3 linked regions of the Lytechinus pictus genome follow. The protein of the gene in region 1 purifies or fractionates together with the protein of each later gene. This does not show direct contact. Links are inferred from orthologs where the notes say so. Each region holds a gene or a part of one and is shown on either strand. Other genes may lie near its edges. The genes, in order: selenoprotein S-like, derlin-2-like and derlin-1-like.

Region 1 (11,017 bases):
GCGGGGATGAATACGAGCCTCCTATGATATTTTGTGGAAGTAAATTCAAGAATTGTTTTTGTTATTTTGTTTGATATTCCTCGCTTAACTTGAATTATTGTTGGAAAGAATGAGTCCTACAATGAGCATTAGTGGAAGTAAACTCTAATTGCGGTTTTTGTTATTTCATTTTTCATTTTCTTCGCACAACATGAGATGGTCTCTTAAAAAGCAATGTCCTTTTAATTATTGCACACCTTGTACTTCTCATATTCAATGTACACTTCATTATTTTAATTTCAGTGTTGGAGACTAGTGTTAAAAGTTGGTATTGATAATGGTATTAGGGAAAAGCAATTACTGTACATAACACCAGACTTGGAATACTTTGGGTGTTTTTATTACCATAACTCAGTGTTTAGCTGTCAATACATGAGTGGTGCGGTTTTCTAAATGCAAACTGGGTGTGAAGGAAATGCAAACACCACACATAACACCAAACTTGGAATAATTTGGGTGTTTATATTACCATTACTCAGTGTTGAGCTGTCAATACATGAGTGGTGCGGTTTTCTAAATGCAAACTGGGTGTGAAGGAAATGCAAACACCACACATAACACCAAACTTGGAATAATTTGGGTGTTTATATTACCATTACTCGGTGTTGAGCTGTTAATACACGAGTGGTGCCATTTTGCTGAACACAAAGTGGGTGTGAAGGAAATGCAAACACCATTCATAACACCAATCTTGGACTGATCACGGTGTTTATATCACTCAGTGTTGAGCTGTTGATTAACATGAATGGTGTCATTTTTTTTGTCAAACACAATTTTGGTTGAGATTTCATGCACCTCCCTTATTTTGTGTTCGTGGCACCAACACCAAACTTAAAATCAGTATTTTCTGGTTTGAACACTCTTCTCCATTGAATGCCTATGTCATAAACCTGTTAACTTGTCTGTGTACATTTTGAACAAACATTATCCATAATCTACGAGCATGCCAGTGCTTGCCAATATAGCAACCATTTTATGCAAATTGGATTCTGACAGAAAATGCTTACATTTATCCACTTTAAACAATGTGACAGTTTTATCCATAAACCATTGGTAAGGTTCACTATTACCTCGTTGGAACAGGATTATATTGAATATCGACCTTATTTTACATGGATAATTGGTGAAGATGGTATATGTTTAAAAACACCCTATACAGGGAGATAGATATTTAAAAAAAAAATAGTCTTGTAAGGATACCTCTATTCAGACAAAGGTGATAATTCCAATGTTTGCAATATAATTCCAGTCGTACAAAACCATCTTATTTTTGTGTGCGAAAGGGCTTACATTATTTTCTTACCTTTTCATCAATTTAAATTGGCAAGCATGTCTAGCAAACAGATTGATTGTAGCAAGTTGCAATCAAACCAACTTGAAACCAGTCACAACTGTGTGTTTAACCTATCAGATGCATGTATTTCTGATCCACAAATGATTTTATGGATTATTGTTAATTAATGCCACTCTTTGGTTCAATATGCACATGTGTTCTTTTCTGCACTACCTGTTGAACTTTGTTTTATCATGTGATAGGTCCTGCCCCCTCCAATAAATATGAATTATTGACTTTGAACTTAATACCAAATATAAACAAATTTGATAATCTCATAGAAAGTTAGAAGTATTTTTTAATTGATTTTAATAGAATTGAAAACTAGCCAAGATATTATGTACATGGTCATATACAGTGGGTACTCAAATTACCAAAGAACAGCATGTGAATTTGAAAAAAAAAAATAGTATAAATAATTGAATGAATAATGCTTTATTTACCTTTGTGTACTGTAAAGATTTACTTAAATGTAGTAATTTCCATCTTTTGCCTTTATTAAGGGTTGAAGATATGCTGTGTACATTGTACTCTTTTCCCCTCTTATACTACATGTAGTTTCATCCCCATTCACCTTAAAAGGCAAACTGAATTCCAATGAGTCCTATCATAGGCCCATGTGCATTACCCTTTTATCATAACATCTGGACATATATTATGAATTATAAGGTTAGGATTGTAATTTTATTGGAAAAGAGATGTGTTTGTGGCCATGCTGTAAACATATTTGTTTCAGTGGTGAATACTGTGTCAGGTTTGTTTTACAGAGTATCAGAAAATTATTTGCCATTGAAATGGGCTTGTAATAAGGGAAAACCGCTCTCTCTTTTTTACCCCCTTTACAGCAAAAATTGTTTTTGCATGTTGCTTTTGAACCATTATATCCCCTCCCACTGCCCTGCCCCACCCTACCCCACCCCCTAATGATAAGAATATATACCAGGATCGTATTCATAACCTATTAAAGCGTAATCATTATGTTGATCTAGAACCAGGAGTTCAATTCATATATCTGTTCTGAATCTAGCAATGAACATCTGTTGAGCATTTCATGAAAGTCAGGCATTTTATCCGACAGTTACCATGGTAACATTGCTCCTCAGCCAATCGAAATCAAGGAAAGTTGTCAGAAGGAAAATGTTGATGAAATGCCGATGTCCTAATTGAAAAATACCTAAATTGATGTTTTTTTTTCAAATAATACTGGAAAGATAAACCTTTGAAATTATTGCTCTCCTTTTCACTGAAACTGGATGCCTTTCTTAAAATGATTCTAAAAAGAAAAAAAAATGGTTTCTGCTTTGGATTGTGTACCATTATTCCTTTGTAAACCATAGGCAATGAACTTGTATTTCTTCATTTTGAAATTGATAATAATTACATAAATGATAATATCATATAATATTTCTTCTTGTCAGGGGTATATCTTTATTTTATCCTATTTATATGGGAAAGTGTGATGGAAATTTTGGTGCCATAACATTGTATAGTAGTGATCTTATTGTCAGGGGAAATTGTAGTTGTTAAAGATGTCTCAGTTTGAAAATGAACTTTTAAAAGGCAATGCTCTATTTATCAATTCCGTATGTGTAGTCCTATGTATGTCATTCATTCATTCAACACTGTCAGGGCTAAGTATCACACAACATAGATTAATCATAATCTTGATTATAGTGATTATTATATGTAATCAATTATGATAATCAATCTTGTGATCAATAGCTATTGTTTGTAGTACAGGCCCTGATCAATATCACTTGTTATTGCACTTGGAAGTCGGTCTTTACACTTCTTCATGTCGGTGCAAGAAGGCCCTTAGCAAAAACATTTTCGCTCACCGTATCGGTGCAGAAATGCCCTTATGCAATGCACTAAAGCATGCTGCTAAGGGTGTTTCTGTGCGCATACGATGCGCGATAGTGTTAATGGCATTCTTGCGCTGACACAACTTCTGAATATGGTAGCATGTAGCGGTTTCATGTTTTCATGGGGAATTCTTTTATGAGAATCACATTGTGATTACTGGTGTATAAAATATATTGAAGAATGAACCCCAAACTCATGAAAAACTTTGTTCCATCACTGTGTGTGTTTGCCCAGTGAATTAGTATTTATGCACTTGTGCTTTAGTAGTCCCTGATTATACGAATGATTTCATCTTTCCTCTTCCTAAAATGTCAATTTCCAGTGATTTATGAAGGTAAATGTATGTTTTTAATTGTGTTTGAGTACTGTGTGAAGTCTTCTATATAAAACTAGATAACTTATCGTATTATGAGACATGTCTGTTCCACAATTGCCGCGTCTGGTCGAAAATGCAAAATTGTTCTTTTTTTTTCAAGATAGCCAAATATTGATAATGCATTATTTATAAGGCGTAAAATGGATATATATTTGTTATTGAATTCTCTAGATCACAAATGCTGAAATAAAAAAAAAATATTTGTATATATAAATATCTATATGAAAATGCATTACTGTGAGTCTTGTATTGTGGTGTATCATGTGTTTTGTTGTATACAGTATATATGGTGTTGCACTGTGCACTTAAAGCAAACCCAAACCCAAGAAGGGAAGAAATCTTATTCGAAAGAGTAAAATGAGAGGAGCAATTTAAAACAAGTTTCATCAAAATCGGTTATGAAATAGGCAAGTTATGGACGTTTAAAAAGTCTTGTTGTACTTCCTATGGGTATCCTCAAACTGGCAAACATGCTTCAAAATTGCTTTTGTGGACAACCCTCCATTTGTTTTGTACACAAATTTTCAGATTTTCCCCCATTATTTTACATATTTCACAACAATTCCTCCTGACCTTGACATATGTGGAGTGAATTATATTTTCCCATGACATATATTATGCTCAGAATAAGGCAATATGCAATTTTTAAGATAATGGGGAAAATCTGAAAAATTGTGTACAAAACAAATGGAGAGTTGTCCACAAAATCAGCCATTTTGAAGCATGTTTGCCAATTTGAGGATCCCCATAGAAAGTAAAACAAGACCTTTCAAACGTCCATAACTTCCTTATTTCACAACCGATTTTGATAAGACTTGTTTGGATTTTTTCCTCTCATTTTACTCTTTCCAATAAGTTTGCTTCTCTTGGGTTTTGGTTTCCTTTAAGGTCAAATCCACCCCCCCCCCCTCCCCAGCAAAAAGCTGATATGAATGAATACAGGAGAGTCGAACATAACACTGAAAAATCCATTTTAATCTGAAGTAGAAAAAGAGCTTAATGAAATTTCATTTGTTTCCTCAAGACGTGTGATCTGTGGGAGATGATGTTACGTACCCACTGTTTAATCTATTTCTTTTCTCCCCTTTTTCCTTATAATTTCCCATTTTCTGTTTGTATTCTTTTTCTTCATTTTTTCTCAGTTTTCTCCCTCAATACCTCTTCAGTTTCAGCGATGTGATTTACTTTATGACTCTCTTGCTCTGTCCGTCTCTCTCTGACAATCCTTTGCACAAGAGAACATACACTTTGTAACTTATCCAAGTGTCTTTGAATGTGTACTTTAGATTGCACATCACATACCTAAATTGTTCTGTCCATTAAACAGGGGGGGGGGCATGTTATTGTCACATTGCACCATTTAACAATCTATTATTCAATGTTTTGGAAAAAAAATGAATGTGAGCACAAGCAATGTGATGGGCAAAAAAGAGAATAAATGGGGATGATAGTGAGTGATTATCTTGAGAAAATAGCTCAGATTAAGCGAGGAAGAGAGAGAGAGAAAGAGAAGAGTGGGGGAGATGAAGAGAGGAGGGGGAGAGAGAGGAGGACAAGGGGGTGGAGGAGGAGAAAAGGAGAAAAAATGACGCTCCAATATGATCAATCAAATTTTGTTAATTTGTAGTATGTGGCTTTTAATTGTCCACTCCATGATTGAAAAATAGGCTGAAGAAATTCGGGGGGGGGGGGTGGGGGGATTCAACCCCCACTATTCCAATAAATGTGTACAAAACATAAAATAAACCCTCCCCCTCCCTTTTGGCTTAACCCATACTTTTAAACCATTCAAAGGCCTCTGTGAATAAATCAAATTTATATGAGCAAGCTCAAAGAGAGTTGAATCCCATCTCTATACAGTCAACCTGCTCTTGCCCCCCCCCCCCCCCCCCCCGTGCAGTCAAGACTACCTGTCTCAAGAACTTCTAGTTTTGTTTCACTTGAATAATTACCCATAAGCATATACATAGAAAACAAAAGACCATTTTCCTTGCTTGCCATACCCCCATGGCTGTAAGCAGAACTTTTCTCCGGGGGGAGGGGACGCATTAACAACTTTGAAGAAAAAAAAAAAATTAATATGCGGGGTAGCAAAGAATTGGGGCACTTTTGCATTTTTAAAGAGAGTTAAAATAATTGAAGGATATTGTCATTGTATTACCCTTTTTGGTGAATTTTGTGGAAATTTTCAGTCAAAATTGTAAGTTTTCAAAATGTCTGGGGTGGGGTAACTGTCCACAGCCCCCTTTGTTGCGACCGACCCCCGCCTCTATATATATAGCCCCCATCATCATGATCATCATGAAATAAAAGCACAAGGGCTGCACAATGACCGAATCCCGGTACCGAGGTTGTGGTTCAGTTTCCACACGTCATGTAAACAACATTCGAGATTGTTGATTGCATGATCAGCTAGCTCACATATTATATGCGTGCATGCTAGCAGTGTTGCTGTGAGTCGAGTGAGTCGAGTCGAGTCTGCCATGCAAAGGACCTGAGGCTGAGACTGAGCCAACATGTCGGAGATTTTTGAAGATCGTGAGCTGACAGAAGATGGGAACACGACACCAGAGAGTGTCTCATATGGACTGTCAACAGGTAATATGTAGGAATAGGAATATTTAGCCATGTTTAGCCTGTTTTGACTAATTTTCATAAGTTTAACACGAACATGACGAACACAATCACATTCACACTCACACTCACAGAACAAACAGCAGAACACCATGAACACTGTGCACTGAACACGAACAATGAATCATGACGTTCATGAATTTCCATGTTGCCTTTTTTGGGGGGGTCATGACATGTTGAGAAATCAAAATTTCCAGTATGATTTCCAGACCCATGCCCCCTGCATGCCCATTTCCATTGTATTTGACCTGAATTTGTTAGAAAGATGAAGTTAGTTTCAAAATGTACATGTAGCATTGTATTTGTAGCCTTGTAGGCTAAAAATACAGGAGCAAGAGCGAGCGTGAGATCATACCTTGTTCATTGAATGAGTGGCGTAAGACTGAGTCTGAGAATTGAGGAGAAAGGTGAAGGTAAATCCGAGTTCGGCAAAGGCATGGCCATGGGGGGGGGGGGAGAAGATCTTTTGTCTTGTGTAAGTTGTGTTGTAAATAATGGCATTATCGTGGTTTAAGTCACCACTCCTTTCACTGCCGTTTGTTTCGTCAGCGGCGGTGACTTCTGTCGAAGCTTTCTTCACTGACACACACATGAGAAGAGAGGTGACTTATTTCAGGATAAGGCCTAACCCAGGGAGCTCAAAAAAACGAAAAGTTCTCTCCTTCTACCCCAGTTACGTTGGCTCCACTGTCCAATGTCAGAAATTGTTGAGGAAATCCCCAGAAACAACGGTTATCCCTGTCTATAGACATACATGCAGGCCATATTCATGCAATCGCTGCCGCAATATACTTCTTTTAATGAGCATGTTTTTTGCTCAGCTGTTTCTTAAAATAAATGCAGCTAGATTGGGAAAGATCGAGAAAGAAAGATGATAGGAGGAAGATAAGGTGGAGAAGAAGAGAAGTAGGAAGAGGATCAGGAGGATCTTGAATCAGGAAGGAATAATGAAAAGTATAGTAGATCTAGATCTACATGTACTAACTAAGAGAAGGACTCTGGATTTGTCAAGGCATATTATGGGGACAAAGAAAAAAGAAGAGTAGAGGCAGGATTATATTTTGTTTTGGGGGACACAACAATAGATGTCCCCCCCAAAAAAAAAAGATGATCCTCTTTGCTGACACCCATGACTAGATCTAGAGGGTCAACAGATTGAAGGAGCAAGAAGAAGAGGAGAGGCAGCTGAGGAAGAGAAAGAAGAAAATATAACTTTAGGGAAACGGGCAGCGTAGCTCAGTCGGTTAGAACGCATGTTTCGGATAACATCGTAGATCTCAACGTGAGGGGTTCGAGTCCCGCTCATGCCGAAACGCGTCTAACAAAAAATCTGAAGCTACATGTATAGCATTAGGTGTAAGCGTGCCTCACCACTGTATTCAGTGCAGGTGTGAATGCAGTTGGAAAACACTCCATCCATCAGATAGGACGCAAATGTTGGTCCCGTGTATAGGAGAGTCACAACCTATGCACGTTAAAACCAATACACTATTCATCAAAGAGTAGGGTGTTCACCCTGCCGGTCCTGGTAAAATTCAGGTCAAGTCAATCTTGACGTTCATATGCCAAGGCTCCACATTAACTTTTTTTGGTGGTGGCCCGTTCGGGCCACCAAAACCATCAAATAATTTTTTTTGGTGGCCCGATATTAAAGTTTGGTGGCCCGAAAAATATAAAGAAAAACATTAAAAATGAATAAAACAAACTTCTGAAATATTAATTCTGCAGCCACTACCACTGACTAAGTTCCTTTCACTTTATACATCTTGTATGTAAACCTTGTTTGCGGTTATTTTACTTTGCTAATTGATAATTGTTTCTATCGTTGTAAAAATGAAATGATTGAAAGTGAATAAATGAATTGTATTGTTCGCAGGTTGTGTGGACTTTTTTAAAAATCTCTGTATAGAGATAATGGTAAAGTAAATAAATAGTGCATAGCAAACTCAGTTAGATGTACAAAACAATGGTTTTTCCTTCCTTCCTCTTTGAATCCTAAAACCTAGATTATGCATGCCCCAAATCCAGTTTATTTCTGTTTTCTCTTTTGCAGCATATAGAAGGAGAAAATCACAGAAAAATATGCTGCAAAATTAGAACAATGCATAAAAGGGAGAAACAAACGAAAATAATTTTCAAAAAGTATATAACAAAAAGAAAACAAAAATAATAAAAGGAATTAGTGAAATAAAACAAAAGAAAGAAAATGAAGAAAGAAAAAAACAAAGAACAGGGAAAAAAAGAAAAAAAGAAAAGAAAAAAAATTAGAGAGAAAAAAGAAAAGAAAATTAAAGAAAAATTAATAAAACAAAGTTAATATAAAAATGGGGAAAAGGGGAAAATTAAGAAGCCATTACATATATTTTTAACAGCTGTGGCAACAGTCTATTCTGACTGGAATATAATTAAAAGCCAAGCATATAATTTTCACTTACCTCTTGGGAATGGCACATTTCTATTTTTATATCCTTTAGTTTGTATTATTTTATTTTCAGTAGAAACATATTTTTTAATCAGGCATATTCAATGGGAAGGGGTATAAATGGTTTAACCACTGTCAAAAAAAATGAAAGAAAAAAAAAGAAAACGGCAAAAACTATATTGGAAAAAAAGTGTGAGAAAAGTCCTTCCCTATATTTGCCAAAATGTTGGGAAAAAAATCACATTTCATATCAATGAAATGCCTTCCCAAAGTATTTACTTTCTCAAGAGTGGTTTAAGAAGTCATTTATAAACAAGAAAGAAAGAAACTGTCTGTTTGTTTAAGGCTAGAAAATACACAGCTTCGAAAGAAACCAAGTATCAACATACATACAAATGCACACGTGGGACTGTGATGTACTTGCCTATGTGTTTTTATGTGTATTAATTCATGTGGAAATCGGTCTTTTTGAGTCAAAAGAGAGGTCATAATTCCTCTTCTTAATACTTGCAAATAATCAGGGTACACCATATTTTCGTAATATAGACTGTAGAATTTCATTTCATTGGTGTAAAAGGTGACTTTGACTTAGATTTTCAAAGTTCTGTGGAAGATTTCTCAGCAGCAACATTTTTTATCGCAGCTCCCTGAGTCTGAATAGGCTGAGCTAGATCTAGAGCACAGCTGTATGCAGTGGCTTCATGCAAAGCTCACGCCAGCCGGCTGGCGCGGCTGGCTGGATAATAGCTACTGTATGCTATAGCTGTAGGCCTAATATGCAAACTGTGTGTGTGTGTATTTGTGTGTAGATCAACAAAAAAGGCGCATGACGAACTGGCTTGCAATTTGAGCTGTAGAAAGTTGATAAATGCGTGCAAAATTGGGAGAAAAATTGTGCTACTTTGAAAATTATTGGTTGCCCGATTCGGGCCACCAAAACTTAACATTTTATCAATAATGGTTGCCCGAGGTGAATTTTTGGTGGCCCCGGGCCACCGGGCCACCGCTAATGTCGAGCCTTGCATATGCCATAGTGGGCATTAACGGAAAGACAAGAGAAGAAGGATAAAAAGGAAAAAAAGGATACTCAAACTGAGAGGAGAGGTGTATTGGAACAAATTAGAGCAAAAAGATGAAGAAGATTCCATTCTTGAATTTTTTTTGGAAAAAGCTCTGTACAAGCTAAACTGGGATGGGAAAATTATGGGAGAAAGATTTACAAAGAGTTGATTATTGCATAGAATTGCCCTACTTCTCCCCCCCCCAAAAAAAAAAAAATTGATAGATTATCCCTTATTTTTTTATTTTTTTGCACTGGGTTATCTTGAAATTCATAATACTAACAATAATTGTACTTGCGTATATAGTGCTTAATACTTTATCAGAAGTCTGTAAAGTGTTCTGCAGTAATGCGGGTTGTTGCGGACTCATGTGTAATAATAATAATAATGATTTATATACCTCAAATTTTCAAAATTGCCTCTAAGCCACGTACGTGCATAGCGCCAACTTAATGTGTTCCGCCATCTTGCTTGTTGGTTGCCGATAAAATGCGCATTTTCAGATTTTTTTACACTCAGTCATTAGCCGTGACTGAAACATTGACCAATCAAAAACTAAGATTCTACAAGAAATATGAATATTCATATACGAAAGTATAAACATAGATAATTCAGTTTTATGTGAAATTTAAACCCAATACTTCAAAATAGGGTAAGTTTTATGTCTCTAAAATGACCCTTAAAACCAGAATTTTATTCTTAAAAAATAAGGATTTTTCCAAGTTGCCATGGTAACGCAGCCTGAGATAAAATATCTTAGCAAATACTTCATTTCAGTGATTGAGGATGCATTTGTTCACGGTATAAGTCTACATAAGTTATAAACAAAATTTCCAGACCATGGATGAACTTTCAAAAAGAGAAATTTTAGGCAAGTTTTTACGATTTTCTGCAATTTTCTGACACACAGGCACTTTGAAGACGTAATTTTTACAGAATTAGAAGAAGACATTGTGGATTTTCCTAATTATCACGACGGATATGCAACTTACTTGTAAACAAATCAAACAAAGTCTATGATACATTTTAGATAATGCGAAAAGAGACATTCAAGTCTCTGATTGAGAGCCGTAGATTGAACATTCGCACGGCGCAATGGTAACGTTTTCGCTGAATTCGTCGGGGCGAAAACTCCAAGCGAGCCGTACCACTCACCAGTCCCGAACGCTGCGCTGTATGTCTGATGATATATCTGGTGCCATTTCGTGCTTATAAATTTGTTTTTTCTACAATGCCACTATCTCATTAAAATTGTTTGTCATGATAACATTGGAAATATTATCGTT
Region 2 (10,870 bases), on another chromosome or scaffold:
GGACTACTGTCTGAAAACATGACTATTAACAAAACTATGTCATTTGTATACTATCTAATGTGATAAATGCTGTATTATGATATTCAAAATGGCTGTCATAGACCCCTTATACTGTGTACAATATATAAAAGGGGACAAATAATTTTCACAACCTTTGAATTTGTTTGACTTTAAAATGCCAATAACTGCGAAATATTGGTGTAACACTGTCTGACAACAAGGATTTTTAACGAAACATATCATTTCCCTTGCAATTTCGGTAATAATGCTGCATGTTGACATTCAAAATGGCTGCCATAGGCCCTATCTCTATTATGAACAAAGCGAATGAAGAAACTAATTTTCACAAGAGTAAAAACAATAAATGAATGTAATTGTAATCTATACGAGTGAAATATTGTCTAAACACATGATTTCTGGCGAAACATATCATTTCATTTTTCATGCATGAGATAAATGCTGTATTGTAAAATTCAAAATGGCCCCTATGGGCCCTTACAGTATTATCTACAATGTAAATGGGGACAAATACTTTTGAAAGAATTAGGATTTGCCTGACTATGAAATCCATATAATTCTGTTGTATAAGGAAAATATTGTTTGAAAACGTGATTTTTTTATGAAATATAACATTTCCTCTCCCATAGGTGATAAATACTGTATTTTGACTTTCAAAACGGCCGCACAAGCCCTTATAAATTCTGTAACATGCGTATAGGGAAACTAATCATCACCAGAATGAGAACCAAAAGCGCACGTAACTATGTGATGTATAGGTAAAATTTGGTCTTGAACATGATTTCTGACTAAATACATCACATAATGGTTGAGAAGGTAATAAAGGACTTACTTTGAAATTCAAAATTGCTGCCATAGCCCAAAGTAGTATGTACATTGTAACTGGGGACAGATAATTTTGACAAAATTTTTACTATGAAAATGGCTGAATTTTGATGTAAGTGTTAAGTATTGTCTAAACCCAATGATTTCTAACGAAATATATCATAGCTTGTGTCATAAAGGTGATGAATGCAGCCTTTTAAAATGAAAAATGGCCGCCATAGTCCCTTATCTTAATATGTAAAATTTGAATGGGGAAAGATAATTTCCACAAAGAAACATATTGCAGCCATTTTGAAATTTAAATATAGCATTTATCACCTAAATAACATAAGAAATTATCTATTTGGTTACAAAATCATATTTTCAGACGATATTTCACTCATACATGCAACACCATTTAGTCAAGCAAAGCCAAATTCTGTTAAAATTATATGTTTCCATTCACAAAGTACATAATAGGCCTACCGTTAGGGCCTGTAGCGGCCATTTTGACTTTCAAAATACATTATTTATCACCTACCTGGCAGAATGAATGATATATCTTGTTAGGAATTATGTTTTCAGACAATATTTTATTCTTAAATCACAATTGTATGCATGTTATGGTGCTGAATCATGTGAAAATTGGTTTCCCAGATCGATTGTACATAATACAGTCAATGTTTTTGGCGGCCATTTTGAAAGTCAAAATACAATATTTAACACAAATATGAAACCCGAATAATATATTTCGTTGCAAATTATATTTGAAGACAGTATTCCACTAATTTACCACAAAAAAATACGTTTTAGTGCTCACCTTGTGATTGCTTTTGTCCTCTCTCACATCGTAGATCATAATTTTAGGGCCTTTGGCGGTCATATTAAATATCAAAATACAGGGTTTATCACATACATGGCATGTATGTAATTAATAAATTTCGTTAACAATTATGTTTTTAGTCAGTATTCCACTCGTTTATCTCAACAAAATGCATTTTAGTGCTCACTCTTGTGATTTTTTGTGTGTCACCATTCACATTGTACATAATAGTGTTAGGGCTTTTGAAGGCCATTTTGAATATCAAAATACAGGATTTATCACATAACTGACATAACAAATGATATATATCGTTAGCAATCATGTTTACAGACATTGCTTCACTCATAGATCATAATTACTTGCATTTCTGTGCTCAATTTTGTAAAAATTAATTTTCCCCATTCATATTGTACAGGGGTCTATGATGGCGGCCATTTTGATATCAAGAAAATAAATATTTTGACAAAATTCATTTTTTCAGATATTATTTCACTCCGGCAGCATAATTGCATGTACTTTAAAGCCAATGTGTGGACAATTTTATGATTTTCATGGGTAATTTGAATATTTTGGCGGCCATATTGGATTTTGCCAATTTGCAGAAAATGCTCAAGGTTACACGAGTGGCATCATTCAGATTCGGAATCAGCACCCTCGAATTGACAAGAAACCATAAAAAAACATTGTATATATAAAAAAAACAAGGTTCGACCCCTTCTATCCTGGACTATATCGGTGGCCTATATGAATAAACTTTGATTTCTTCACAGGAGTATGTTAAAGAGGAGGGTGCTTTTTCAGTGTTTAATTTGGTTGTTTATTTTTTTGTATATTTTTATTTATTTATTTATTTCATGCGTAGGCTCATAAATCGTAAGAAAAGTAGGACCTTAATGGATCATTAAACTGTACTGAGGCCTACATAAGTCTGATTTTCGTTCGAATTATTGGCCCACTAGGTCTTTAAATAAAACATTAGAAGTGAATCTGTCCACTCTGAGGATCTCCAATATTCTTAAGATTTCCTTCGATCAATAGGAATCTGGTGTGACTTTGGGCCATGGACCCCGTTTTTTTTCACAATCCCAAATTGTGGAACAGGGTTGAAAAAAAGACAAGAAAAAGGGGGTCAGAAATCCGGGGGTGAAATATGCTTTTTTTAATGATATTATTTTCTAAATATTATACCAAAATCTATCGCAAAATTATATGTATGTATTAAGAAGGTACCAACTCTTTTTTTAATTGCCCATCTGCCATATCTGCCCTCTTAATTAAAACTTCTGGCTCATTATAAGCTATATTGCCCATTAAAGGAATACTGAGGGGTCACTCGAGGTCTTCATAGTCCAGGATAGGCCCCATAGACAAGGGGTCGAACCTTGTTTTTTTAGATATACAATGTTTTTTTATGGTTTCTTGTCAATTCGAGGGTGCTGATTCCGAATCTGAATGATGCCACTCTTGTAACCTTGAGCATTTTCCGCAAATTGGCAAAATCCAATATGGCCGCCAAAATATGCAAATTACCCATGAAAATCATAAAATTGCCAACACATTAGCTATAAAATGCATGTAGTTGTTGTGCAGAAGTGAAATACCAATTGGAAAAGCGATATTTGACAAAATATTTATTTTATTGATATTCAAAATGGCCGCCATAACCCCTGTATACTTTATTATGTAGAATATGAATGGGCAAAATATTTTTTCAAACAAGAGCACTATTATTGCATGTGATTGTGACCTGCGAGTGGACTACTGTCTGAAAACATGACTATTAACAAAACTATGTCATTTGTATACTATCTAATGTGATAAATGCTGTATTATGATATTCAAAATGGCTGTCATAGACCCCTTATACTGTGTACAATATATAAAAGGGGACATATAATTTTCACAACCTTTGAATTTGTTTGACTTTAAAATGCCAATAACTGCGAAATATTGGTGTAACACCGTCTGACAACAAGGATTTCTAACGAAACATATCATTTCCCTTGCAATTTCGGTAATTATGCTGCATGTTGACATTCAAAATGGCTGCCATAGGCCCTATCTGTATTATGAACAAAGCGAATGAAGAAACTAATTTTCACAAGAGTAAAAACAATAAAATGAATGCAATTGTAATCTATACGAGTGAAATATTGTCTAAACACATGATTTCTGGCGAAACATATCATTTCATTTTTCATGCATGAGATGAATGCTGTATTGTAAAATTCAAAATGGCCCCTATGGGCCCTTACAGTATTATCTACAATGTAAATGGGGACAAATACTTTTGAAAGAATTAGGATTTGCCTGACTATGAAATCCATATAATTATGTTGTATAAGGAAAATATTGTTTGAAAACGTGATTTTTTTAATGAAATATAACATTTCCTCTCCCATAGGTGATAAATACTGTATTTTGACTTTCAAAACGGCCGCACAAGCCCCTACAAATTCTGTAACATGCGTATAGGGAAACTAATCATCACCAGAATGAGAACCAAAAACGCACGTAACTATGTGATGTATCGGTAAAATTTGGTCTTGAACATGATTTCTGACTAAATACATCACATAATGGTTGAGAAGGTAATAAAGGCCTTACTTTGAAATTCAAAATTGCTGCCATAGCCCAAAGTAGTATGTACATTGTAACTGGGGACAGATAATTTTGACAAAATTTTTACTATGAAAATGGCTTAATTTTGATGTAAGTGTTAAAGAGAAATTCCAGTATTTGCAGTAAACACTGATTTCATGAGAAAGTCTGTAAAAACAAGGCTTAATTGTCAGTATATCATCGAGGATCTAGATCTGGTACAGTTACATAAACTGAACTTTTTGAAATCTTGAAATCTACGCTGAAAAATGTTCACACTGAAGATCACCAACACAGATAGGCACACGTGGGACAGTGTATTATTATTGCTAAAATAAAGACCCGACGGAAGTGACCGAATCCGCGCTTATTTTGCTTATTTCTCAGCAATCACACAATTTCTTCCAGAATCCTTTGGCACATATTTTTTATTCATACAAACAGACACTTAGGTGGTCATTATATTAGATTCTGTAAAAAGTCATTTTTAGATCGTTACCAAAACTGGAATTTATCTTTAAGTATTGTCTAAACCCAATGATTTCTAACGAAATATATCATAGCTTGTGTCATAAAGGTGATGAATGCAGCCTTTTAAAAATGAAAAATGGCCGCCGTAGTCCCTTATCTTAATATGTAAAATTTGATTGGGGAAAGATAATTTCCACAAAGAAACATATTGCAGCCATTTTGACATTTAAATATAGCATTTATCACCTAAATAACATAAGAAATGATCTATTTGGTTACAAAATCATATTTTCAGACGATATTTCACTCATACATGCAACACCATTTAGTCAAGCAAAGCCAAATTCTGTTAAAATTATATGTTCCCATTCACAAAGTACATAATAGGCCTACTGTTAGGGCCTGTAGCGGCCATTTTGACTTTCAAAATACATTATTTATCACCTACCTGGCAGAATGAATGATATATCTTGTTAGGAATTATGTTTTCAGACAATATTTTACTCTTAAATCACAATTATATGCATGTTATGGTGCTGACTCATGTGAAAATTGGTTTCCCAGATCGATTGTACATAATACAGTCAATGTCTTTTAGCGGCCATTTTGAAAGTCAAAATACAATATTTAACACAAATATGAAACCCGAATAATATATTTCGTTGCAAATTATATTTGAAGACAGTATTCCACTAATTTACCACAAAAAATACGTTTTAGTGCTCACCTTGTGATTGTTTTTGTCCTCTCTCACATCGTAGATCATAATTTTAGGGCCTTTGGCGGTCATATTAAATATCAGAATACAGGGTTTATCACATACATGGCATGTTAAATGATAAATTTCGTTAACAAAAATGTTTTTAGTCAGTATTCCACTCGTTTATCTCAACAAAATGCATTTTAGTGCTCACTCTTGTGATTTTTTTGTGTCACCATTGTACATAATAGTGTTAGGGCTTTTGAAGGCCATTTTGAATATCAAAATACAGGATTTATCACATAACTGACATAACAAATGATATATATCGTTAGCAATCATGTTTACAGACATTGCTTCACTCATAGATCATAATTACTTGCATTTCAGTGCTCAATTTTGTAAAAATTAATTTTCCTCATTCATATTGTACAGGGGTCTATGATGGCGGCCATTTTGATATCAAGAAAATAAATATTTTGACACAAATCATTTTTTCAGATATTATTTCACTCCGGCAGCACAATTGCATGTACTTTAAAGCCAATGTGTGGACAATTTTATAATTTTCATGGGTAATTTGAATATTTTGGCGGCCATATTGGATTTTGCCAATTTGCAGAAAATGCTCAAGGTTACACGAGTGGCATCATTCAGATTCGGAATCAGCACCCTCGAATTGACAAGAAACCATAAAAAAACATTGTATATATAAAAAAACAAGGTTCGACCCCTTCTATCCTGGACTATCACGGAATTTCCGTGGAGGTCTTCCGTATCTGAACGTGCTCTGTCATTTATTGTACCTGCAAGTATTCACTAAAGGGAAAAAAATGTTCCGTGCTTGTATTCTTCAAAAAAATATATAAGAAACTTTTGTCAGCCTTTTTTTTTTTAATTTGTATTTATTTATTTTTTATTCGATTTCTTAAATTTTGTAACTATGTACCGTAAGTGAAGTATCATTAATCATTAAATGTGCTCAGACGGACACTTATCACTTTCGAGCAAGGTGATTAATTGAATTGCTTACTTCACCGATTTGGATCAGCTGCGTAAAGCTGACGTGTGTGTACGAGACTTAAGGCCTAGCCTACTTCTGTGCTGTGTTAACAAGCTAGCTACGCCGACTGAATTTTATTTAGGCCTAGTTTAGAGTTTAAACAAAACTCCAAATTCAAGCCAGTGCCAGTAGTAGTCCAGTTTAAAATTGTAAGTTGATCTAACGTTATTAATGTAGAGCTCTGTTTCGTCTTTCAACATTAACTATGAATATGACTGCGATTAACAACATAGGCTAATTGTTTTGCTTTTTGTTTCAGTTTTTCACCATGGTCCAAGACTCCAGTCCATGTTCACCGTATCACTATCAGTTTCAGAGTCGATTCTCCACTCAGTTGATTCATGAACAGTTGAATGAAGTTCAATCAACTTCCATACTTCATCAGTTAGTTAGGCAACCATGACAAGACAGTCACTGTGTGCCTTAGACAGCTGGCAGCCGTCCGTTTCGAGGAGTTTTTAAACTTTTTTTTTTTTTTAGAGTGAAGCCAACGGAGTTCAGCTGAACAACCAACATAACAGAGACCGAAGCTTTTGGTCTATGTGTGCCTGTGACTGAGTTGAGTTGAGACTGAGCTTAGCCTTAGACGTAGCTAGACTAGACCTGAGCCGAGTATTATGAAAGAGAGACACGAATCAAATAATGAGTCTAACTTTGCTTCAATTACTTTTTAGTAATTGGGATGGTCTGGGCTGAGAATATCTAACGTTGGATCCAGATCTAGATATAATCTGGACTCTATGTCATGATGTGGCTGACCATGATTTGGCACATTTTGAAAAAAAAGTTGGTTTTCAATCTAAAAATTACAGTTCACACAAAATTAATCAAAATCATAAATACCAGATGGAAGGCAAGATCCCAAAGGCAAAGTCAAATTCGCTTGATGGAATTATAAAGTAGGTCAAGGTTTGCACTCGTATCGCGATCTCAAAACTCCATGGCGATCGACTAGTGCGCACTTGGCTGAAAAAGTGTCATAAAAAGTGTGACCTTAATTTGCACACGATCGTTTTGCAAAGCTTTAAAAAAGTAATCAAGCAGACAAAGGTAAGATAATTATATCAGATGGAGGTTAAAATGCCATAAATTTGGTTGGTATCACATTTTACTTATTTGGAGACCTCTCCTTGCAAACTGACGATTTCTTGATGCTTGCCAAAAAGTTTAGATTTTCTCGGAGCGTACGCTAAAAGTAACAAAATTCGCCAATGTTTTGCCAATGTCTTTACAATTTGAGACCTTCAAGAATATTATCATACTGAGTAATTTTGGGTCGCTTTTTCTGTTGGTGATATCACTTTTTCAAGATGTTAATTAGATATTCGACTGCACAAAATCAGGTAAACTGCGAATTAAGTACACACCACCATAAATAAATAGAGTAAAATTCACAGAGCAAAATGCTGAAAATTTCATCAAAATCAGATAACAAATTATAAAGACTTTAAAGTTATTGAATTTTTAAGTAAACCATTAATTTGTGAAAATAGTTATATGCACATCATCATGAATATTCATTAGGTGGGCTGATGATGTCACATCCCCACTTTCCCTTTTCCTTATGTCATTACATGAAATCATAATTGTTTCATTTTTTCATACGTGTGAATAATGTGTCTCCTTTATAATGAAATAGTTGCAGCAATGAATATCTAATGCACTAAATCAGTTGTCCAATTTTTTTAAGTTCTTGGTAAATTTGTTTTTAATAAACCTAATTTCATATAATAAAATACAAAAGAACAAGTGGGGATATGACATCATCAATTTGCTCATTGAATATTCATGATGACATGCCGAGAACTGTTTCACCAGAATAATGTAAATCTTTAAAATGCCATAACTTTGGTATTCCTTGTCCGGTTTTGGTCAAATTTTCAGTGTTTTGTTTGTCTCATTTTTCTCTATCTGTTTAAATCATATAATTTTCAGCCTGGAGTATCCCTTTAAGTCTGGTGAGTGGTGTTGCCATGCCTGTTGAGTGTTAGTGCACAGACACAGTGATGTTCGTGTAGGGTAGGCTCCACTTCACTACCGCTACACTAGGCTACACCTACCCGAACATCAAGGTACAAAACTCCGAGTGACAAAGGTGTGATTTAATGTGTATAAAACGTGAAACTCGTGCAACAACACAACCTTTAAAAACAATAAAAACTAATATTCCTACATTTCACAAAGTTTCACTTTTCCACGCTTCTATCAGTCTCAAAATCGTTGATTTAGAGCCAGTAACAGTTTCCTCACACGTATTAATTCACTGCCGATTTTAAAACATCGCAGTTGCGCATGCGGGGAAATCGCAGCTCAATTCAAGAAAATTCATGATGGGACTATATAGTTCGGGATCGTTTCGCATAACTTGCATCAGATCTCGATAGTTCAGATTTTGATAGTTTAGATTCTCCTATAAGAAAGATGTGTAAGATTTTTTTTGTTTTTGGGGGCTAATTATGATCACCCTCTGTATTTATGAACTTCCATATGAGTTATAAAAGAAAGTTTTGATCCAGATTTAAAATAGAGCCAATATAAATTTTTGGATAATGTCATATGTCAAATGGAATCGCCCTTATTCTTGGAAGACAAAATCTTCATCATGCAAAATTTGTGTCATCCACTTCTCCTTAATCAAATTTTCATGATAATAAGGAGACATTTAATTCTGCTTTTGAAATGTGAGAGATGGATCCAAAAGATTAAAAACACAAAATGCGTCCAATAAACAGTGATGGACGAAAATATGTTCTTGTGACGTGACATAATGGAATGAAATATTCGAGGCCTCGACAGTAAGACTATCTTGTGTAGATTTAGGCCCTGTTAGAAGAGATAACAATCAGTGTTTGTAATTTTTTTGTAAATAACCCATGTTTTAATTGTCTCTAATCATTTAATCTCCTTTCTTTCAGGGACCATAGATATTTACTTTTCTTACCGTCATTATTTTTCTTCACAATGTTAGAGAGTTATTTTCAAGCAGAGGTACCTGTATCATTTCCTTAACTTTGAATTAGTGAAATCTGTATCTAAATTCTTCTGTTTGTTTTCAGGTAAAGGTTAAGAAAAACACATCGCAATGCAAACCGTTCAACAGGAGTACATGCAGACTCCTCCTATTACAAGACTATATTGTACATCATGTGTACTCACAACATTAGCTGTGGTACGTATTCATATACATAACTTTGTTTAGAAATTCTGATTCATTATTGATTTTCCCTTTATTCTTATTTGGGGGGGGGGGGGAGGAGCAGGCCAAAAAAAATATATAATTTTTTTAGTTTTTTGGGGCTACTTTTCACAACCTACTATCTAAATCAGCAACATTTAAGCTTTAACATTACAGTGAATAGGGATTTTTCAGGGCTCTTTTCTATTTTTCAGGGCTCTCACTTGAGCATTTTCATTGGCAAAATCACCCCAAGCCCTTATGTATTTTTTTTTTTTTTGGGGGGGTGGGGGGAGGAGGGGAGATGAGTACCAGTTTCAATTTTAAATTGAATGTATTCTTTGGTATCCTATTTCATCATATTACATTGCACTTGTCAAACAAAAATTAGAATCCCTCATTTTCTGCAATATACTTAAAACTGAAAATTTTTGGAATAAAGGACAAACATGAAATTTCATACCAGACACCATTTTTCAGGCAAACATAAAACTGGATCACACATTTCTAGGGGAAAAAAGTCAAAGCAAAATCAAATTATTTTTTGTTTTGATTTATTTTATTTGTCACTAGTGGCAAAACTGAAAAATCTGTCTATCAAACCTATTTGCAGTGTTTAGCATGTGCTTGCCTAACCCAGGGAGCTCCCGCCCGCTGCGCGGGCTGGAGCCCAGGGGCTTACCGTGTATTTGACCATACTCACGGGACTAGGGTGATTTATGGTCTAAATATTTCTCCAAATGAATTGTGAAAACAGAAAGTATACAATTACCACGATTATATGGATGAAGGTCTAACGAGTGGCAGTTTCCTGACATCTGGGCACAGACTGGAACCTCAAAAAACGAAAAGTTCTCTCCTTCTACCCCAGTCTCGATCGGCCATTTTGTTACGATTTTTAACCATAGTGGTTCAGGGAATTGATATTTTATTTACTACAATTAACTACTATTAATCTGTATTCTTTGTGTTCTTGCTTTGGCAGCAACTGGATATTTTATCACCATTTCAGTTATACTTCAACCCTGATCTCATTTTTAACCATTTTGAGGTAAGAAAGATATATTTTATTCTTGTCAAAGGTGTTATGTTGTTATATAGTCTCACTATTAACAAACTCTGATTAACTGCTTTTCTTTTGTTCTCAATTGTATTAGCTTGTTTTATTCGCTTTACATTTTTGACTGAAGTTTTCCTATCCAAAACAAATTTTCA
Region 3 (11,313 bases), on another chromosome or scaffold:
AATGTCATAAATAACCTTGTTGCTGTCCTTAATTTCTCCCTCCACAAAAAACCACCACCACCTAACAATATCTCTAGACAGTTTTAATTTTAATAAGAGAATATGCAATTCAAGAAGCACACAAAACTCATCTCTGCAAGTGTGGGTAACAAATGAGAGGTTTCATTACTTACAAGATTTGAGGAGTAGAGAGAAAAGCGGTTCCACCAAAGTCTTGAGGATACTTGAACATGAGAAAGAAGTAAAGATGACCAACCACAATACCAATCAGCTCAGCTAGTCCACTGTAGGAAGGACAAAAATTTCTTACAGTCATATTTGAAGAAAAAAAATATTTGATAAAGCTGGGATGGAAATACATAGCAAAACTTGAAAATATAATATAAAATAATCAGACATTAACAATGATAGCCTATTTAATTGATATGGAGACACAAGACATGTACAAAACATCTCTGAAAATTTGATTGATAATAATGAGGATTATTGCACATTCAGTTTGAAATTCAAGGAATTATTCAGAAAGGTGTCTCCCCATTTACAATCATGTTGTTCATGATAAGTGCAAGGATTTGTAATGACAATATGCTTGCAAAATTACTGTGTGGAAAGGCTTCGACTTTTAGTAAGGTGCATTAGTATCATATATGCTTTTTGATAGGTTCCTCATTATTTTACTTTGTAATACAGTGAATGTGATTATTGTCATTATGTTCTTATTTGCTCAAGATGTATGTTTTTGTGGAATGTGAAACAATAAATCAAATTAAATCATCTTACCCTCCTCTGAGGATCCAATTGAAAGCAACAAGAACCCAGGGAAGATACATAGCCTTGAATCTAGTACCAAACCAGAATGAAACTATCGAATCACGGTTGAGCTGACACCACACATAGAGGACGCTAAGAATCATCGGCTCCATTAGCATCTAAAAGTATGAGAAAGAAGCATGAAATTAGCAGAAATAGATCCCTACCGTACCTGTAAGGCTGATCACAAACAAAATTGTCACACACTCTCACTTCAAACAAGGGTTTGCTCAGTGTAAAAATAGTAACAGCAGTCAATGGTAATATTTTCAGTTCACCATTTAAAAGCTTACTACTTGAATTTTTATTTCTTGTATAGAATGAAATACAATGCAATTTCCAATGGATTTTGGGAGAACATTTGAGTATATTCAATGGAAATGATATGTTAAGGATTTGATTGAGAATCTGAGAACATTCTGAAAATTTGTAAATATCACTATTGGATAAAAATCAAAGAAAATTATGAAGATTAAAGAAATCAACATAGGCTTTTTAACAAATTTATATTTTTTTCAAAGACAATGGATTCTGAAATGATATTCATTTATAAAACAAAATATATCATGTTCCATGTAAATGATAAAACATACAAAGAGAAAATATTGACTTACCAATAAAGGTGCTATAAACCCAATGATCTAGTCAAATAAATGATGGTTAAGAAAGAATAATTAACAACAAGATCACTATAGTATTTAAAGTCTTTTCCCCTTTTCATTCCGTGTACTGCGAGTGAATTCACTTTCATCTTTCACATAAAATTAAATGTGAACTTTTGTGAAGAAATGCCGAATGTGGGTCAATTATAAAGTAAAGAATGCTCAATACAAGTCTACAGTGGTGCGAGAAAGTTAGTGAACCCCAACACAAAATGCACTCCTTCATGCTGAATGTTGACAACAACACTACAATGGTTGGCCTGCCCAGAGAAACTAACTTTATTGAATGTAATATCTTATCATCTGACTTCAAAATTTAATATCTAAAACATGGCAGAATTTGAACATGTTCATTTTCTGGTGGGGTTTACAAACTTTTTGGCACCACTGCCACACTCACAGTAAGCTAAATTGACGCCTGTTGTCATGGTTAAGTACGCTATTTTATTCATGAGTCCAATGTTTTGAATCGATGAGTCCACTCTTCATAACAGTGGAATCATGAATAAATTGGCGTACTTAACCAGGGCAAAAGGCGTTGAATTGTTGCACTGTGACAAAAGTGCACATCAGCATTGGACATCTTGTTAATATATGAGGTAAATAAGCCTAATTTATACAGGAAATCTACAAAAACCATGGGTTCAACGGATGGTTTTCAAAACCACCTTGTAAATTCGGGCCTTAGTGTCTAAGAAATCTTTAAAATTTTACCACCGAATAATCTTTCTAAAAACTATTGCTTAAAATTCCAGATACCTACATAAACCACACTACAAAGAATTTTCATATTGAATTGTAAAATGCAAGAATACAATATTAATTCTATTTCTAATACATTTTGCGAAAAATAGAGAGTATCATGCCATTGTCGGTAGCATAGAAAAGGATACAACAAGGCAAATCCAGTTGAATATTAACATGAAAACATAGTCTGCTGGTCGGCCATCAAAAATGCCTGAATTGAAAAAAAGAGAAAAGATTGAGAAGGCTTTAATAGGTCAACATGTGAATGTCTAGAACAAATAAAATGTTCAATGTAGGCCTGAAGGTTAAAATAAGAAACAGGCCTGAAATTATGATATTATAAATAATATGGCAAGGCCACTTCCTATTTTTTTAAGGGAATATTTTACAAATACATTAGTACAGTAGTCAGTACAAATTATCGGAAAATATTATACATGTTAGGGTATTTAGGCCAATATCATAAGGGCATCGATCCCAGGCCATTGCCTTGGATCAATTTGAGCCCTGTTTACATCCTGGATAAAAAAAATGAATTTGAAAGGATGACAAATTTCAAATCATTTACAATGCAGATTCGTAAATTATGCACGAAATGGTTATATCTGTATTTTTCCACACATCATACATTTGTTGTTTTTAACATCTTCATATTTTATCATTTAGCTTCTGCTTTATACTTGACTATATTAAGGAAACATTCAAACCATGTCTAACATTTTCAAGCATTTATATGCCAAGATATTTAATAATGAAGAAATGCTTGGTCCTTGGAAACTGATCAAAAGTGCAACAACAATCTTATTCTGGCGTTATTTGACAAACCTGATTCTAATCTTGTTGAGTAGCTGTATAAAAAGTAAAGCTGAATTAGGTAGTGAAATCCAGTCATTGGAGTGATTGGAAAGAAGAAAACTGCTGTTATTGGCCTCCATATCTATACCAGAAACATGAAAGAAATAAAGAGATATTAATGAGTCACTCTTCTTGGGAAAAAAAGGTTATCGGTGGTAATCACCCACTCATAATATTTCAGAATAAACATTCACCTGCAATACCTCGACAAATATCATTGAAATCCGAGTCAAAATGGTGGGAAAATCTGAGTCAAAACGGTGGGAAAATAAATGAATTTCAGAAATTCACACATACATGTAGGGTCTGGCCTCATAAAAAAAAAATGCAGCCTTTCTCATCAATCCGTGAATTTGCAAAGCTAAAGTTAACTGGGTGCGCACTTCAAGAAAATGATATTTCTCTAATTGTCTCAATCTTTTTTGTGAACTTTTTGGCACACTTACTCAAAAGAATATAAGGAAAATTATCAAATTAAAATCTTATGGAATCATTAGACCCTTTCATTGAAATTTGTGCACACATGCATTGTCGATGCGACAGCGACAGTGCAGGGATTCATACTTTTTAACTGTTTTAATTAAATGTTGTTACCTCAAAACCCATTTGTACACCCCCGGCCCAGCACACACACAAACACAACTAAAATACTGGGGGACGTGTCCACAGAAAATTAACACCATCTTACTTGAAATCTGTAGAAAACCAGTTCAAAGCTCAGGATTAATAATTTCATGCTAACCAGCCCAAATCGGGCTATGAGTGGGACTACAATAGAACCAGTGAACCAATAACGAGTTATTTGCGGAATTCCGCGATACCAGTCCCCTATATCACTTTGAGACATTATTGGAGAGTACTCTGGCGATCTAAAAATGAAGTATCACTATCAGTCTTGAAAATCCTACTGCAAAGTGCCAGAGAAATGTCTGTCATTTATTCCAAATCGATGCCAGTCAAGATTGTATTTCCCAAGCAATTCGACGTGTACTTAATATTGATTCGCTGCTCCTCTAAAATTATCAATCGATGCAGATGTTACGTTTTATATATATGCTGGAGTTATCAATTATGATATACCGAGGATCAGCGAACGCGCTAACTTCAAATGTAGTAGACTAGACTAGCATCAACTTCGTTGGAACAATATTTAAAACAAAGGAGACATTCTAGACAATATGCAACATCTCGATCTAGATAGAAGAGGCTCAGGGAAAATATGGCATCGAAAACCCAATCCATCAAGTGACAATGGGTAAGATTTTTGCGCAAACTGATGGTAGTTGAACGCGATCGCGATAAGATTCTACTCCACTCGACTAGCGACTCGACTCAAACAAGTCTCACGGACAGCTCAGCAAGGAGCTCCACCCACGCCCCCGAAGCTTCGGCGGCGCTTGCGCTCAAGATTCTGGACCCGGTGTCGTGGTGGGGAAAGGGGCGGTGCGGTGATTATTAATATGACAGACACAGTCACAGACAGTCTCAAACACACAGCCAGGAATTAGACAGAGTTTAAGATATATTTTGTTGAAATTATAATTTTGGAAACTAGAAACTACTGGTACATGTAGTCTCACTCACACAAGCATGCGAGGACGAGGTTAGTTGTACTAGTATTACTAATATTACTAACCTCGCACAACGCATGTCATTTCATTATGAATTTTGACGTTTTCATTCATCACACGAATGTGAGAGAATGAAACACGCCAAAATCTTCACAATATACTAAATTTATTCATCTAAATCTTATCATTTAATTTAATTTTAAAATGGTGCTCGAACGTATTTATAAAAAGGGATTTTAAACGCTTACCTCCAAATCTATGCCAAGACACTCCGTCCGATCCTTAATACTGCGGTGGAAATTACACAAACAACCATCGAAACGCGAATTTTTCCTATCGAACAGTCTAGATTCAAGTCGTCGGCGCGTAATAGGAAATTGTACCAAAAAATCAACAGGTTGCATCTCACGTATAATCGCTGATGGCGCTACATCATAAAATAACGCTGAACAGCGAAAAAAATTGCGGAGCGCCAAGAACGCAACCAGCAGTACAGCTGATCTGACGTAAACGACGTAAACAAGCAAGTTTATTAAATAATATCGCGCGCCCTCTCTGTGCGTATAGAGAAAACCAGGGGTGGTATTCTGAAAACGTTCTTATCTTTGTTCTTATCTTTTATCTTATCTCATTGAGATAAGAAGACGTTAAAATCATTGCAAATCGGTATTCTGAAAATCTTCTTAACGCGTTCTTATCTCTGTAAGGACTGCCTCCTTCTTATCTTCAACACACCCATTTTTAGGATATTACCAATCAAAATGCGCTTTATATTGTCAGTTTAACCAATAGAAGCGTTCCTTATGTCAAGAGAATAACATGGGCACTGCGCGTACACTGTTTCTGGCGCATTGCGCGAAATAGGCATTTTATACGCAATGACTGATTATTATTTCGAGACACGTGCACAATAACGATAGAAAGAAAGAAAGAAAGAAAGAAAGAAAGAAAGAAAGAAAGAAAGAAAGAAAGAAAGAAAGAAAGAAAGAAAGAAAGAAAGAAAGAAAGAAAGAAAGAAAGAAAGAAAGAAAGAAAGAAAGAAAGAAAGAAAGAAAGAAAGAAAGAAAGAAAGAAAGAAAGAAAGAAAGAAAGAAAGAAAGAAAGAAAGAAAGAAAGAAAGAAAGAAAGAAAGAAAGAAAAAGAAAGAAAGAAAGAAAGAAAGAAAGGGAGGGAGGAAGGATGGAAGAAAGAAAGTAAGTAAAGAAAAAAAAGTAAATAAAGCAGGTACGAATAAAGAATAAAACAGGAAGAAAGAAAGTAAGTAGATAAGAAAGGAGACAGAAAAGGGTCAGAACAAAGTAGAAAAAAATGAAAGAATAAACGAAAGAAAGCAAGCAAAAAGAACTTAAATGAAGAAAAGGAAAGAAAGAAACTTAAAGAAAAAAAAAGGACAAAAAGAGATTAAAATGATAAAATGAAGGAATAAAGAACTGAAAAAAAAAACAGAAAAAACGAGTGAAAGAAAAAAAGAAAGAGAAAAAGAAGGAATACAAAAATGTAAAAGGTGAAGAAAGAGAGAAAAAGGAAAATGAAACAATGAAAGAGAAATAAAAGCAAAAATAAAGACTAAAGAAAGAAATCGAAAGAAAGGTTAATTCAAAGAAAGAAAGACAAATAACGAAAAGGGAAAATAAAAAAGGAAGAAAGATGAATAATAAATTAAGCAAAGTAAAATAAACATAAGGAAGAGATTAAAAAATTCAAAAGAATAAAGCAAAAGATATAAATGAAGAATGAAAGAAAGGAAGATAGACAGATAGAAAGGGAGAAAAAATGAAAATAGATAAAGAAAGACAAAAGGATAGAAAAAAAGGTGAAAAACAAAATAAAGGGTGGATGAAAGAAATGATGGAAAGAATACATGTTATTACCAGTGGTCATCTTTTTTTAGCAAGAAAGAACGCGAACATCGTGAGATGTGATAACCCTCTAGCTATCTTAAATATTATCATAGATATCGTAAAAGATAAGAAAGATAAAAGATAAGAACGTTTTCAGAATACCACTTATCTTTATTTTGTTCTTATCTTTTTAGCGCGCTTTTGTATTATGCGCGTGTACTAAATTTACGCGCTCAGCATAGGATGGAAAGCAAGATAAGATAAGATAAGAACAAAAGATAAGAAAAAGATAAGAACGTTTTCAGAATACCAATTTGAGAACGTGACGTAGATAAGAACAAAATTAAGATAAGAACGTTTTCAGAATACCGCCCCAGCAAATTAGCTCCATGCCTGCTTCGACATCAAGAAAATCATTGATATACATGTAAAGTACCAGAAAGACAGAGAGGAAATGAAATTGGCTTCATATCGTTTGGTACTGAAAGTTTCATATCCAAAGCTTACTTGATTTAAAATGTAGATATTTTTCTAATTTTTACAAAAGAGGAATAAACTTATTGCAAGTGCCGTGCCAGTGGTTATCCTGTGCACGGCGGCGGTAATGTACCCGTGGGTGATGTAGTCTAGTCTATCAAGAATATGAAGAAAAATTCTCTTGACTTTGAAAGATTGTTTTCAGTTGATGCCAAACTAGAACATTAATATCTTCAAGTTCAAGTAAGACTAGATGCCGAGTTCTGGCTGGACCAAGCAAAATTATAATTAGACAGCTGGCAGCCGTCTCTTTCGAGGAGTTTTTTAACATTTTAATATTTTTTTTAATTTCTCCTCGTACACCGCTATCGTGCACTCAAGGGTTCATTACATGCCGCCGCACACAGAAAAATCAAGCCATAGATGTCGTGTGTTGTGGACACCAGAAGTGGGGTCGCAGCACGCGCGGCCCACTAGTTAGAAATCCACTGCCAAATGCGGTACATGGTGCGAGGTAATAGTATAGTAATACTAACCTCGCAATACGTGTGAGTGGCTATCGTGCAGCCACCATTAGGGGGTTAACAATGCAAAATCCACCGACGGGGCTCATCGATTTTTGTCTTTATTTCATAAAAATATATAAAAAGAACTGTACCAAAATAAAGATTATTTATAAAGTTTATTTTTCCAAAATAAAGATTAATATTCCGTTTTGGCCTGAAATGCACCAAAACGGAATATTAATCTTTATTTTGGAAAAATAAACTTAAAAGGAGAAAAAACAGTGACTTATTTCGGCTGTCGCGCAACTTCACTTCCCTGTTTTATCCAAACTTAATACATAAACATATGGCCATTGAGTCCCTGTATAGATGGAGCTAGAACTTCGGTCTCTGTATTTGGTGAGTGGAGCCAACGGAGTTCAGCGGAACAACCAACATAACAGAGACCTAAGCTTTTGGTCTAAATTATAATATGACTTATTAGTTCATTCTCACTTAATAAATACAATTTATACATTTTATACCAATGGATAAGCCAAGATTAAGTTATTGAATCATTCATGTTTCAGTTATTTATGATTTTGTGGTCCTTTTCTTGACGTGAAAAAAAAATTATATCAGCCTTTAACCAAAATTTACCAGGCAGGTTTTGAACTCTTGCTATATCTTTGATGCCCAACAAATCCATCTTAATGTTGATCAATTTTTTTTTAGTTGAAAACAGTAACACCTAAACATAATTAAGTTTAATATCAATGATTTGATAACTTATTCTTAGCTTATTTATTGTTATACCGTACAGTCACTATACCTATATTTTTTTAAGGAAGTATTATTTTATTTTTTTTGCTTGGCAAAAATTGGTATAGCCTATTCTTGTCTCACATGTAGACATTCATTTTAGTAGATCTACATGTACATGTAGCGGGGGTATGCACTGTTTGCTGAAAGGCCCGAATTTGAAATAAGAATGTCTTGATTGTGTTTATTTGTTAGGTTGATGGTTCAGATTGGCAAGGAATCTTCTGCAGCACTCAAGTTTCAAGGTCATGCCATCCGTTTCTTGCAGGCTGGGTTTGATGCCAGTGGAGATAGGTTCATAGCTGGAGATCATCAAGGAAATATATATGTCTTTGATCTCCATAGAAACAGGTAATTAAAGGTCAAGTCCACCCCAAGAAAATGCTGACTTGAAAAAATAGAGAAAAATCAAACTTGCATAGTGCTGAAAATTTCATCGAAAATCGGATGTAAAATAAGAAAGTTATGAAATTTTAAAGTTTCGCTTATTTTTCACAAAAGAGTGATATGCACAACTAGGTGAGTCAGTCGATGATGTCCATCACTCACTATTTCTTTTGTTTTTTATTGTTTGAATTATACAATATTTCATTTTTTTTTAGATTTGACAATATGGACCAACTTGACTGAACCATATATTATTAAACAATGTTATTCCACATGTTCAGGGAGGAATTAATCGTTGTATCCCTTGACAATGAGGAGAAAATTAGAATATTTCATATAATAAAATACAACGAAATAGTGAGTGGATGACGTCATAGTCTCCTCGTTTGCATACCGGCCAGGATGTGCATATAACTTTTGTGAAATTAAGCATAACTTTAAAATGTCATAACTTTCTTATTTTACATCCGATTTTGATGAAATTTTCAGTGTTGTGTTTGTTGGATTTTTTTTAATCCAAATCATTTTTTGTTGGGGTGGAATTGTCCTTTAAATGAATAGTCTTATGTGACATGCTATTGTCAGATTTAATAAATTTCTGTTTAAATGTTAACATTTCAAGTAGAGGGGTCAGATATTTATAGTATACATTAGTCCAGATTGGATGTTGATGTATGGAAGCTTTCTTTCCCATTTCGCAAAGCTGGCACATAGGGTCACCTGACTCCCAGTCTCTATTCAATCCGGTACCAAACCCTCATCTCCCCTCCTTACTGGGTTTGAGGATTGGGAGTCAAAGACGCCCTCTATGTCAGCTTTAGGAAAGAGAGCTTCCATACATCAGTATGCAATCTGGTCTAAGTAGTGAGTATACGTAAAACAAGTTGTTCACTCATGATATCAGGTGATTACTGTAAGCGTTTTTTCTTTTTATTGAGACAGTCTACATTGTACATAACAGCTTTAGTCCACTCTTCATTCCTTGTCTGTTTTCCTCACCGCATAGGGACGCCTATGGGCAGGGATATGCATTATACAAGCACCATCATATTCATTGTGTTTTTATTTTGACTATTTGAGATTGATTATCCTTTTTTTAAGTTTTAATACTGTCATTTAAGTTGTCAATTGACGAATACTCACAGGGCCAAGTTCACATCTTCATTAGATGAAAGGGAGAAAAGGAAGTTATACAGATTAGAAATCAACTAAGGGGGACACCGTGTAGACCCAGCAGAAATCTCTGACATCAGAGAACATTTTCACATCATCCATGTCGATAAGCAAATTATAGCTCTATAAGTTGGTCTTTTACCATATTTCATCCATTAATGAATACTTTGTTGTGCTGGGTGATGGTGATATTTTGATATTATCAAAATCCTACGATATTGTAAAGATATTGAATATTTGATAATAGTTTTGTGATTATGTTGATATAGCGCAGTATTAAACACGATGTGACCCAAATTCTGTTGACTATGAAATTAATGCTTAATCCCTGGCAACTTATCATGCTTATTGACAATAAATACTGCTCTGTAGTCTGTATTGTTTTGAAACAACTCAGAACCTCATAAGTTGGTACCCAAATGTTAGTTTATCATGGACAAGCGGGAGGAGAGTCCTGCGGGTCACAGTTCTGTGTGCGCGCCCTTCTAGGCGACCCAGATTCGCTGGCTCCTACAAAAATGCGCCTTTGAATGTCTTTGACAGATATATGGCGCTATACAAATGCTGTGCATCATCATTATCATCATCAAGCTTCAATGAAAGCCCTATTTTCATTTCTCCCTTTCCTGTCCTATTAGGATTTTTACATCTCATAATGAACGCACATGTAGATAATGAATTTTCAGATTCGGCGATATAATGTGTGTTATCACCGAAAGTTTGCTAGTGACAATCAACTAACATAGAAATCAATATCAACCAACACTACTTTTTTGCCTTTCAGCTGATGTGATGAAAAATATATGATATAATGTACGGTAATTTAAAAAATATTCTGAGTGAATTTGAAAGTGCTAGGCCAGCTCTTTAGAATGAGTTTCTTTCACTCATGTCTAGACTGAATCCCAAACAGGGTACCATTGCATAAAAGATTTATTGTAACCTTGCCATTCAATTGTAATTATTATGGTAACAATGCTCAACAACCAATCAAAATCAAGAATTCCATGAAATTTCCATTGGACAGCAAAATTAAAGTTATGGTTAGGGCAATGTTTATGTTGTGGAAAGAGTTGCAATCAACTCTTGGGCAGAGCTGCAGGGTCACCTCAATTTGAGTCACTGAAACAAATCATGATTTTATTTCCTGTCGAAACTGTTCCCACAGATTCCAACTGGTACAAAAGTTAGGAGTTTCATGTACTGCTATAGCCTTCACGCTAAGACGTAAAACAGAGTATTTAGTTGCACTCTCAGACTGCTCACTGAAATGTTATGACACAGGTAGGAATTTAATCTTTGTATAACTTCTAATCGGATAATTATTATTGGGTTCTGAGGAAATCATTTACATGTGCAGACTACAGAAACATGATTTTACAAATAATTTCATAGTACCACTGTAGCTTTGCTGAATGATTTGATTGCATACTGGTAATGAGACAACGGTCAATATTCTAATAATATTAGTTATAAATTATTG

What was found.
Region 2: the proteins of selenoprotein S-like (region 1) and derlin-2-like purify together in Homo sapiens (affinity purification with western blotting; 3 studies listed by BioGRID and IntAct, with this or other methods). This does not show direct contact. The link is inferred for Lytechinus pictus from reciprocal best matches to the Homo sapiens genes SELENOS and DERL2.
Region 3: the proteins of selenoprotein S-like (region 1) and derlin-1-like purify together in Homo sapiens (affinity purification with western blotting; 6 studies listed by BioGRID and IntAct, with this or other methods). This does not show direct contact. The link is inferred for Lytechinus pictus from reciprocal best matches to the Homo sapiens genes SELENOS and DERL1.

The regions. Positions count from the first base shown.
Region 1 is NC_087252.1:1,384,948-1,395,964, reverse strand, and holds the start of selenoprotein S-like, read left to right. Parts: upstream 1-5,979; 5' UTR 5,980-6,130; coding exon 6,131-6,212; intron 6,213-11,017. UniProt on the Homo sapiens protein: Involved in the degradation process of misfolded endoplasmic reticulum (ER) luminal proteins. Participates in the transfer of misfolded proteins from the ER to the cytosol, where they are destroyed by the proteasome in a ubiquitin-dependent manner.
Region 2 is NC_087246.1:9,526,105-9,536,974, reverse strand, and holds the start of derlin-2-like, read left to right. Parts: upstream 1-6,209; 5' UTR 6,210-6,629; intron 6,630-8,415; exon of another isoform or gene 8,416-8,552; intron 8,553-9,536; 5' UTR 9,537-9,562; coding exon 9,563-9,649; intron 9,650-10,640; coding exon 10,641-10,706; intron 10,707-10,870.
Region 3 is NC_087246.1:25,969,064-25,980,376, reverse strand, and holds the start of derlin-1-like, read right to left. Parts: upstream 4,424-11,313; 5' UTR 4,330-4,423; coding exon of another isoform or gene 4,253-4,329; 5' UTR 3,922-4,252; coding exon 3,763-3,921; intron 3,157-3,762; coding exon 3,045-3,156; intron 2,431-3,044; coding exon 2,366-2,430; intron 1,452-2,365; coding exon 1,425-1,451; intron 930-1,424; coding exon 781-929; intron 285-780; coding exon 174-284; intron 1-173. Other genes in the region: TBC1 domain family member 31-like, read left to right, coding at 4,253-4,329, 8,466-8,621, 10,999-11,114. UniProt on the Homo sapiens protein: Functional component of endoplasmic reticulum-associated degradation (ERAD) for misfolded lumenal proteins. Forms homotetramers which encircle a large channel traversing the endoplasmic reticulum (ER) membrane.